Mus musculus: one gene and its partners. The protein of the gene in region 3 purifies or fractionates together with the protein of the main gene of each other region. This does not show direct contact. Links are inferred from orthologs where the notes say so. Each region holds a gene or a part of one and is shown on either strand. Other genes may lie near its edges.

Region 1 (3,648 bases), on a different chromosome or scaffold from region 3:
GAGGAATTTGTTATTATCCCACTATAGATCTCTGATTTAGTAACTGGAGAAAGGGACTTTAAAAGGTGACTTGTCTTTCCCTGAAGCCATCCATGTACAGCATGCACTCATGTGAAATAAACGGCCATCAGGTCCCCAGCCTCAGGAGTGAAGCACCTTCACCCTGTCTCTTTGAACACTGGGTCAAAGGAATACAATGGTGTGCCTTGCCTTTCCTAAGGTTTCAGATGCTCATGGTCGAGTAATGATAGTTGGAAAACATTAAAGGAAAATTCTACAAATAACTTGTAGGTTTTAAATAATTTATTATAGTAGATCACAATTATACTATCTTACCATTAGTGAGTATATGAATCTCCTGATGCATCTAAGTTACAAACTAAGCTTTATTAAGAGACGGGAGAGGGCAAGGATGAGGGTCATCTGCAATGGGAGAAGTATCTGAGGGAGTGGCGGAACAGGATCAATACATGGGAGTCTTGCTAATTTCTACAATCAATACGTATTACCAGTGATACCAACAAAACAGACAAGTGAAACTGTCTCATGGGACCCACTGGAGTCTCAGACAGAGCAGCATGGCTGCAGGCAGAATCCTGCTCCAGCCCGTTAGCCAGCTGATACGGGTGGGAAGAACAGAAGCAGCAGCCTGGCTCCAGCAACAGGAAGAAGCAGGCAGGAGGAAAGGGCAGTACCTGATGGCTGATGGTGACTTCCAAACGTTAGATTTGTGCTGCTGTAACTATTTCTGTCGGTCTTCCTTTGTCAACAGCATATTCTGTCTAAAGCTTACGGCTAAGCCTCCCTGGATGTGCCTGGTCTCATCTAAACAAGGCTGAGATAATTTCTGAAAGGTTTATTTGGAATCTACATTGTACCTTTCTTTCCAAATGCCTTTCCAAACGTGTAAGTGCCTCAGTTTCTCCTCCTGGCCACACTGCAGAGGACAGGCCATCTGTATCAAAGCCTAAGGAAAAAGAACCAAATAAATGAAGAAAGGAAAACATCATTAATATTGTAATTATTATAAAACAAAAAAATCACTGTTTTCCTGACCACACTTACTTGGGAAACAAATCACTCAGCAAAAATAAAATAAACAAATAAATACAACTCTACAGGCCTACACTGGCTTACAGAGGACTACACAGGACTACACTGGCCTAGGCCCCACCCAATGACAGACTCCTGCCCCAAGGACCACACATGGTTCCCATTTTTAGGATGCACATTGTCACCTGACAGCCAGTCACAGTTTAAGAATGCACATGAGATATTTTTGGTTAATAGGTTTCTCTTTTATTTTCCCCTTTACTCTTCTCTTCTTCCAGTAAAAATACATTAGAAGTGAAATGTCCAAATGATTTATGACTATGAAGTATTTTAAAATATATTTTTAAATTACTTGGGAATTTCACACATCGTATTCTGATCACACTGCCCTTACCTGTCCCCCTAAAGCTTCCTAGATCCCCCAGATCTCCCTACCCATCCTGACTGTGTTCTTTCTGACTTTTCTTAGTCAGCCATCAGGTCCACTTTGTGCTGCCATGCACTCTGGGTGCTTATCAGCGGCTGCACCCACCGAGCTCTTCCAGGGAAGGAACGCCATATTTCTCATCATGGTCATCAGACAGAGGGGTCATGCACTTTCCTATCACATCTGATGTGATGGTGTCTGCTGGCATCTCCAGTGGCTCCATCTTGCTGACGAGAGTCTGAAACCTTTTATATGTTAGAGGTGGCTGTCCGCCATTGAGTTCTATGATCCTGTTACAAGAATGAGTAAGATACAGTTAGTAAATGCTAATATAGCTTGGCTGATAAGCTCAAAAATGCTTATATCAGAAAATTTATCAATTAAGATATTTTGAATGTTAGCTTCTGATAAGACCAGAAAATGTGTTCAAAAATATTTAATGAATGTAAAACCATTCTCTTGAATTCCTAGATGTCTACTAGGTGTCAAATAATACAGTATGCAAACATCAAATCATTGATGGCAAGTATTTAGGATTGTGACTAAAAACTAACAAAGTAGTTCAACTAGCCTATAGATCATGTATAGAAAAATTAATATAAATGGACAAGTGAAAAAAATGAACCAATTTAATAAATCTCAAGAGGCACCAATAAAACTAAAGTAGATTGATAATTCTAACGAGAAATAATCAGCAGAAGTAAAACATGCTATCAGTAGTGGGGCGCACCTTCAATCCCAGCACTCGGAGGCAAAGGCAGGTGGGTCTCTATAAATGCCAGGTCAGCTTGGTCTACAGGGTGAGTTCTAGGACAGCCAGGGCTACACAGAGAAACCCTATCTCCTCTTGCCCTTTCTGCTGTGTCCCAATTTCCTCTATGGACGTGAAGCCTCCACAGCTGTTTTCTGTTGTGTGGGTCCTTGTTACAGACCTCAGCACATGTATCTGTTCCCAGCACCTGCCCCTAGCTGAGCTTTTGTTTTCCGTGGTTTCAGTTACTTGTGTTCAATTGTGCTACAAAAATAGTATGTCTAGACTCACATAACTTATTACAGCATACTGTTCTAAACGTTCAATACCATTGTTAACCTCCTATAACTTATAATTTACAGCCAAGCTTTGCCATGCTGTGCTCTTTAGATAGACAGCACAGTGAACATGGGTTCAACGTGACTAGTGGTTCTTAACAGCCACCAGGGCTTTGGAATGCCCTCATGGATAAGGAGAGAAATATTATGCATACATGCACCCCAAATTCCAAGTCATTTATATTTAAGTATAGTCATTAATATTAAGTGCATTATGTAGTTATTGCTGACCACTGGGTACCTCAATCCTACAATAGTTCTAGGGAAAGATGCCAGCAGCACTTCCAAGGGTTTGCATTAAGTCTAGACATGGTTTCAGAGTAAAAGCTATCCTCCCTGCTGTAAGTACAGTTTGTTTTGGTTTAATATTTTGATATTACATATAGGGCTATAATGAAGTTTGTTGAATTCAATAATGCTACAATGACACTATTAAGTGTCTCTTAATTATCTACCAGCAAACTGAAACTCATAGAAAAGATTTTTACACACGTGTGCGCACAGACGCACAGACACAGACACACAGACACACACACACAGACGTACAGGCACAGACACACACACACACAGACGTACAGGCACAGACACACACACACACACCGAGTCTTTGGTATGTATTCACAATCAACTCAACAAAACCTAATTTTACAATATGGCTGAGTCTCCCATTTAGAAGCAACTTCTCTTACCCTATTCTGTCTGCTCCATATTCACCCATTGACGTTAAGAAAACTGGGACCTGATGGAAGTGTTGGTACCAAAAGGACTAGCACATGTAAGACATCACCAAGGGAAGACGCGTGTCTGGATCAAGTAATGGTTTTATTCATTTACTTGCTAACACAAGTAAAGTCAGTTTGTTGTGTTGTTTATAGAATTAGCTTTGTTAACTTGGTATAATGTGTAAATAACTTAAAAGGTAAAATTACTTAATAGATACACAAATTGTGAATTCTCATGTTTATAAAGACAATTTCATGCCAGAAGTTACTGTGAACTTAGACAGCTCCTGAATCTCCCAAGCATGTGCTCCTGTCTAATGCAAGCCGCAGGCTCTGCCTGTCACAGCGCCCCTGGTA
Region 2 (3,648 bases), on a different chromosome or scaffold from region 3:
GAATTTAAGGAGATCTGCACAGATTTCCCTGTTGACACTCACACGGTGTTGGGTTTCGGAGCCTTTGGGAGCTGGGACTTAGAGATGCTGAGCCCACAGCAGCACCCCCACGTCTCTTGACTGCATCTGCACTTAATCTTGGGGACAATGACCTGATTTCAGGAAGGAAACCATCCTCCTAGAGATTATGTAATTTGTACAAGATCATATAAACTCTGAATTGGTTTTGCTGTGGTGTAAAGTTGCTCCACGCTCAGCCCATCAACAGCTCTCCCGATAAGCCAGGTCTGCAGCTTTCTAGGAACTGTAGGCTGTTAGTCTTCCTTTCCTAAGTCACTGTGGATGGATCCCACATTAATGTGGCATGCGTTATATGTCACTGTCCCTATACATCTGCTGGCAACACGCCCATGCTGTACTATACGCCATCAGCTTACTGAGCATCCTTGACTCATACATCTAATCTTTCTGTTTGTTAATCTTGCCTCAAAATCAGGGAATTAACCAAGCAAGTTCAGAAGCCATCACGCTCTGTGCTCAGCACTGGAGAGCATGGCATCTATGGTGGTGGCTCTTCCAGGGACAAGGCAGCACAACCTTGTCCTCCCACTGGCAATGTCTAGAGGACAAAGCACCAAGTGCCTGCCACCCCACGAGGACATAAATCGAGACACTGCGGAAGCCTCAGTGAGGCCGAGTGATCGGGACCAGAAAAAGCACCAACCCTCCATGGTGAAAAGCACCCTCCGATCTCCTGATGCAGATGGTCGGAAGAGCCTGCCAGGAGAGACTGTCCACAGCCTGAGAGGACAGCAATCCACACTTCTCCAGGACTGGCCTAAAAGCCTTTCCTGCCTTAGGGAAGGAGGAGCCGAGAGGAGGAAGACTGACTGACTCTCCTTCCCTCTGTTTCTTTCCTTTTTTTTAATGATTCAGGAGTCTTGTAGAAAAGATGAGGATGGACTGGCACGTGCACGGCCAGAGCCCGTGAGAAGAGACCCTGAGGCAGAGGCAGAGACAGCTTCTGGGGCTGGGCTGAGCCCTTTCCTGCCATCTGAAGCTCAGTATCACCCTCGCTTGGCCACCTACAGAACTCAGGTCAAGTAAACAAACAGAACAAAACTAAACTAAACCCTCGCCAGAAATCAAAGGGTTTCAACTTCTAAGTTTCACTCTTCAAAAATAAACCCTCTTCCTTTACATTTTTTTTTTTTTAAATTTTAGAAGGTAAAGTAGACATGGTGGCTCGTATCTGAATTTCCAGCACTCAGGAGGATATGGCTACAGCAGGAGGATTGCTCTAAGTCCAAAACTATCCTCAACTACCCAGTGAGGCTCTGTCTCAAACAAATAAACAAAGACAGCCATCCCTTACCACTGCAAAGGTTTACAGGAGTGGTTCTCAACCTGTGGGCCCTGACCCTTTGGGGGCTGCATATCAGATCTCCTGACTACCAGGTATTTACATGATGATTCATAACTGTAGCAAAACAAGCTGAAGTCCTACCCTGATCGCATTTTAATCTGGTTTGCTGTTTGGCCCTCCAGCTGGCAAGCAACAGCTTTTTAAACCACAACTCACTCTCAGGAGTCCTTGCTTGCTGGCTCTTGGGTAGGCATCTCCGTCACTCTAGCCCGCTTGGTCAGTTCTTCACCAGGAGGTTCCTCGGCTGCTTCCAGCTTGCGTTTGGGGGAAGCTGGGCCACTGGATAGTGCTCTGGGGCCTGTAGAGAGGCACAGAAACAGGTCATAGTTACTTACCATAACAGTCTCTTGCTGTGGGGACAGGAAGCCCTGCCCTGGCCTCCTTTGCAGCAGTGACCTCACTTGGAACTATATGAGGAGGGCATGGCCTGGCCTGCTGGCAGCAAGGCCAACTTCTGGTGCTCAGATCCCTGGCGCCAGGCCAGAGACTGGTTGGCCTACCTGCCGTCCTGCCGTCCTTGCTCTGAAGGTGAGGGTTCCCTTCGCAGTCCCGGGAAATCCCAGGGTTCTGGGCATTTTCGTGTTGTGGAGCATCCCGAACCCGACCAGCACCCTTGCTCTTCCCTGTGGCTTCTCCTGCCCAGCCTCCTGAGCACCTTATTCCTCATCTCCCCATTGTTTCCGTTTATGTGGCAGGCAGTGGGGTTTTAAAACCTCAGTGGGGCCTCCGTCAGTGCAGGAAGGCAGGGCGACTTGTGCCAAAGCTGCTCTGCTTCCCTCCTCCCTGGCTCTGGATCCTTCTGCTCCTACAGTGGACTCTGCTTGTGCCTGCTTTGGGGGCCTTTCTCGATATTTCCTTTCCTGGTTCTTATCAAGATGATGCTTAAAGAGGTGCCCTTGGGCTTCTCCTATCTAACGCGGCCCTAAAGAGGCCCCATTCCTAGTCCCACATCAAGCCACTCAGTGCTACCTCCCTCCAAAATCCTTAATGTTCTCATGTGATGGTCTTACAGTATGTCCCAGGTGGGATATAAGCTTCATCAGCTACATGCTCATTTTGGCCTCAGCCCTAAATGACTAATGTGGTGGTGACACAGGCCACAGAAGGCCAGGGAGGCCAGAGGCAGGTGTAACTGACTGGTCACCTGTGTTGCTGATGCTCCCAGCTTGGCTTGAACCAGGCTCTGCCACAGGGTGACTGAGGTCTTCCACACAGGAAGGGACAGATGCCAATAGACCTGGGGGATTGAATGCACACAAGATTAAGAGGGCTGCAGATCATGAGAAACAAAGAAGCCAAGGAGGGCAAGAGCAGGACACAGCCTCCACCCTTTCCAATACCCCACAGCCGCTTTGGCAGCCCAATCTGGCCCAGCCTGCAGCATCTTTTACAGCCTGGGGGCAGCCAACACCTGAAAAAGCTTTCAGGTTTCGTCCTCCCTTGGTGAGTGAGATGCCAGAGGGGGTAGGGGATCCTTACAGAGTCCCCGGTATCTCGACAGCTGTTGGTAGATCTGCTTCATTCGTTCAATGTTGAGCCGACTAGTCTCTGCATGATTGACGATGGGCCGTGGGTAGTCCACGCCAATGATGCACTTGGCAGCCTTCTGAACTGACTCGGGGGCATTCCAGGGCTCATAGATGTATCGAGAGGGGAAGCCTTTCAGTTTGGGCAGGTACCGCCTGAAACACACCCCAGGTAATGTATCAGCACACTGTGACTCTTCTTTAAAGGGCCTAGGGTACCCCAATCCAGGAGGGAGGCTCCAGAGCCAAAGAGTCTGGTGTGTGTCCTTACCGGATGTAGTCCCCACTGGGGTCTGTACGTCGGCCGAAGCCCACAGGGCAGTAGCAGTGGAAGAATTGTTGGAAGAAAGCACTGCAGGACAGCCACATCCAGCTGCCTGCATTCACACTGAAATCGGCATCCAGGAGCAGCTCGTCAAATACCTAGATGAGGAAAAACCAGCCTCCTTGGAGACCTGACGCTCTGGCTCTTTCCACTTCTGTAACACTATTACACCCTCAGGGAGCCAGAGCCCTTCTGCTGAGGGCCCAGGGATGCAGAAAGGATCTCCTAGACCCAAGGATCCCACCCCAGCCCCAGTCTATAAGGAGCTGCCCTTGGCTAGGCCTGGTCACAGGGTACAGGCTAGCTTGCACTCACCCGGACCCCGCTCTCCCAGCTGACCCAGAGGTCCCCGCGGGTGAGGAAGCAGGCCA
Region 3 (3,748 bases):
CTGTCCTGTATACAAGTAATAAGAAGGGTGTGCAGAGCCCTAGGCACGCAGCAGCTCACACCCTCGGCTCTCTATTCCAGACAGAGCAGGTGCTCCCAGAGGGAAGACCGCTAGGCAAAGATCAGGCCCGAGGTTGGTAAGAGAGAGGTTAGGCCAGATACCAGGTTTGCTGTTTTCAGTTCAATATAGGGGCTTCTCAGATGAAGTTAGGTATTGTTCATCAACAGAAAAAAAATTATACTTGAATTCTGTCAGTAAGATTATTTTTACTAGTTTGGCCGCATCTGGCTCTGACTCCTGGACTAAAAAGCTAGGCAGTTCCCATACCTGCCGCTCAGTGACCACTGGTTTCAGTTTGCCTTGTGGTGTCTTCTGTCTCCGGCTGTGTAATGCTCCCCAACCTGACTGCCAACTGTGTGCAGGCAGGCACTGCAGGACCACCAAAAGGAAGGGTGGTGGAGCTGGGAGACTAGAAGACATGTCAGCTCCACGTGCTTCTGCAGGGCTGCTGAGTTGTCATGCAGCGTGATACCCTGTGCAGATGCTACGGGTGCTAGCTGACCAAATAGAAGCATTACACTCATCTGTGACTCTCGTGTTTCTGGCTGGGTGAGAGTGGGCCTAGAAAAGCATCTATTTGGAAGGTTGTCCCCTCCTGGTTAGGGGGCACCTCCTGTGTGGTAGCTCCTCCAGAGTCCCTCCTCAGTGGTCAGAATGGACAGCCAAGTCTTGGAAGCTGGCCGTCAGCCTGAACTTCAGAATTCATGTTTGTGTTTGCCAGGGGAACATGCAGATCCAATGCAGACCAGATAAAAATGTTGACTCTCTCTCCAGGCAGACAGCCCTGGAGAGCGATCAGAGTCTGAGACATACCCTCTACACCCTCAGTGAACTCAACACTGACCTTCCTGCCCACAGTGGGTCCCAGGAAGACCTCTTTTCTTCCACCCTTGTGTGCAAGAAGCTGGCAGGCAGCAGCAGGCACGTTTTGCACCATTCAAAGCCCACAACTGGTGATTCCTACAAAAGCTAACTGTCTACCTGTGATCTCAGAGCTAGGCCTGGACCGCCCTCTCTGCCCTTTTCCCCTATCTGTAAAGGGCCTTTCCCGGGGTCTACAAAAGGAACTGCTATTCGGCTTCTCTCTGCCTGTTTAGGGGCAGGGTCGCTATAGCCCAGGCTGGTCTCGAACTCCCAAGGGCTGGAACTACAGGCATTTCTTACCACACATGGCTTAGCTTCCTCGGACTTCTATTGGAGACAAATGGGAAGACCAAAGAGACCAGCTGGAGTCATCCTGCGGGAACGGTGGACACTGGGACAGAGAAACAGGCCTGGTTGCGACTGCGCAATCCATCAAGTAGCCAAGCCCCGCCCCCGAGCACGGTGGCCCCGCCCCCTTGGGTTGCTAGGGGAAGTGACGTCACAGCGCGATGGCGGCGGCTCCTTTAGGCAGCTGAAGGGGGATTTAGGCCCGGAAGATCCGAGTCCATCCGCGGCGGGGAGAGGGCGAGCGGGGCCGGCAAGGGCCGGAGCAGCGGCGGCGGCGCTCGGACTGTCCCATCCGCCCCGTATTGAGGCGCTGAGAGCGACGGGGCGACCGGAAAGCGATGGTGAAAGCGGGGCCGTGAGGGGGGCGGAGTCGGACCGGACCCGCAGTAGCGGCAGCAGCGGCGCCGCCTCCCGGAGCGCAGACCCAGGAAGCGGCCGGGCGGGCAGTAGCGAGCCGCACCGCTGCCATGGAGCTGAGGGTCGGGAACAGGTACCGACTGGGCCGCAAGATCGGCAGCGGCTCCTTCGGAGACATCTATCTCGGTGAGGCCCGGCGCCATCGAGCGCCCGGGGGCCTTGCGGATCGGCGGGCGGGGTCCCCGGCAGGCCGAGGCCTGCGGAGGGCCGGAGTGGACGTTCGGCATCCCCGCAGCCGAGGGCCCGGGCACCGGCCTCGGCCAGACACCAACGGCCGCTGTGCGAGCGCGGCCGGGGGGCTGGGCGCGGCGCGGCGGGTCGGGGTGGGGTGCGGGGAAGGGCTGGAAGGACAGGCCGGTCTTGGGGACTGCAGGCCGGGGGGCAGAGCTCGGAGCGTGTCTGGGGATGGTCGGGGACCCGGGAGAGGAAGAAGGAGGCCTAGAGGCGGGGGCCAGCGGGCCTCGGTGGTGGGGTGTCAGAGGGCGTGGGAAAAGGACTGGGGGCGGGGGCCGGGGGGGGACAGCGGGGAGGGGGAGGGGAGAGCGGGGCAGGGGAGGGCAGCAGGCTGGGGGTGGGGCCCGGAGGGGGCAGGGCCTGGGCCGGGCGTCAGCATCCTCCCCCACCTAAGGTCACCGCAGTAAACAAAGGCCATGCTCTGCTCCGCCAAGGGTCTGGTGCTGTTCCTCAGCTCTGCAGTGGCGTCCTGGATGTTTTCATGTGTGGGGGAGAAATGTCAAAATAAGCCAGATGTAGTGTGGAGGTGGGGAGTGTCCCGGTCAGAAATGGGGGAAACGACCGGCTGATTTCTGAGGGTTCTTGGAGCAGTCTGGGCCTGCTCTTTTCCACAATGGCATCTCCACTTAGCTGACCCGCTAAAGGGATCACCCATAGCCTCCTGGCTGCCACTCTCCTCCAAATCAGGACTGAAAATGTTCCCTGTGCCTGGCCTGAAAGGCCTTGGTTTGGTTGGGGTCTTGAGGATATGTTGAGCATCTAAGTTGACTACTGGACACCCGGAAATCAACAGGAATGAAGTTTTGATGAATGCAGATGCATTCAATGTCGAGATGTAGGCAGAACAGAGGGGAGAGAAGTGGTGTGGAAGGAAGTTCTCATGATGGCTCTCAGAATTCTCAAGGTAGACATGAGGGTTGCTTAGGGTTGCTTAAACCTGATAGTTGGGGATTTTTAAATACAAACTTCCCCCTGCATTTCTTAGTAGAATTATGTTATTCCAAAGCCCCTTGAGAACTTGGAGCCTTCTGGTGGTGAACTTCCTGTTAGAGGTAACCATATTCTGTTGAGCAGTAGCCCATCCCTGCATTTGTTTGGCTGTTGTACCTCTAGTGGAGAGTCAGGAAGAAGCTGTGCTTTGGGCCGGCCTTCTAGTCTTCCCAAGCTTATGAACTTGCACTCTGACTCCTCACAGGACCTTGATAGCTGGTGGTGTGGGGTGAACAGCTGGCCCATTTGGGTAGTTCAGAAGTATTTATGGTGCCTGGTTAGCATACAGGGTAAGCCTGCTATGTGCCACATGAGTGCCTTTGAATCCGAACTTCTTGCCAGAGTGGTCTGATGAGTAAAATATGCTTTAGAGATACTTAGGATTTGCTTATTTAAATATTTATAACCAAGTAGAGAGCCAGATGCCTTCTCGGCAATGTTTGGGAGTCAAAGTGCTGGGTAAATTGGAGCTGTTTGGCGTATTTATAGAACAATAGATTTTGGCAGAAGTTTAACCTCAGGATATAGGAGCTAGACTGAAAACCAATCCATTAGCCACCCTTTCATGGGCATCAGAAAATAGGTATTTTGAAACTTTTTGTTCCCTGAGATCTTGCCAAAAGGTTTTGTGCTTTCTGAAGATTGATTATAACAACCAGTTGTGCTATGGTAGTCATGTGTCATTCAGAGATGGGAACCTTTCTCCAGGAGAGTGCAAGCTGTGTCTGGGGTTGCAGTTTACTTAGTCACATCTCTACTGCCCCACCTGGTTCCCCACCTCCATCCAGAGCATGGGGCAGGATATGAGGGACAAGACAAAGGCTGAAAGACTGTT

What was found. The genes of interacting proteins can lie anywhere in the genome.
Region 1: the proteins of Csnk1d (region 3) and Cry1 purify together in Homo sapiens (affinity purification with mass spectrometry; 3 studies listed by BioGRID and IntAct, counting the BioPlex papers as one, with this or other methods). This does not show direct contact. The link is inferred for Mus musculus from reciprocal best matches to the Homo sapiens genes CSNK1D and CRY1.
Region 2: the proteins of Csnk1d (region 3) and Cry2 purify together in Homo sapiens (affinity purification with mass spectrometry; 3 studies listed by BioGRID and IntAct, counting the BioPlex papers as one, with this or other methods). This does not show direct contact. The link is inferred for Mus musculus from reciprocal best matches to the Homo sapiens genes CSNK1D and CRY2.

What each region holds. Positions count from the first base shown.
Region 1 is NC_000076.6:85,147,029-85,150,676, forward strand, and holds part of Cry1 (cryptochrome-1), read right to left. Parts: intron 1,771-3,648; coding exon 1,586-1,770; intron 968-1,585; coding exon 879-967; intron 1-878.
Region 2 is NC_000068.7:92,410,044-92,413,691, forward strand, and holds part of Cry2 (cryptochrome-2), read right to left. Parts: coding exon 3,593-3,648; intron 3,376-3,592; coding exon 3,224-3,375; intron 3,109-3,223; coding exon 2,906-3,108; intron 2,664-2,905; coding exon 2,571-2,663; intron 1,725-2,570; coding exon 1,585-1,724; 3' UTR 1,583-1,584; intron 1,549-1,582; exon of another isoform or gene 1,537-1,548; intron 1-1,536. UniProt on the Homo sapiens protein: Transcriptional repressor which forms a core component of the circadian clock.
Region 3 is NC_000077.6:120,989,002-120,992,749, reverse strand, and holds the start of Csnk1d (casein kinase I isoform delta), read left to right. Parts: upstream 1-1,416; 5' UTR 1,417-1,739; coding exon 1,740-1,815; intron 1,816-3,748. UniProt on the Homo sapiens protein: Essential serine/threonine-protein kinase that regulates diverse cellular growth and survival processes including Wnt signaling, DNA repair and circadian rhythms. It can phosphorylate a large number of proteins.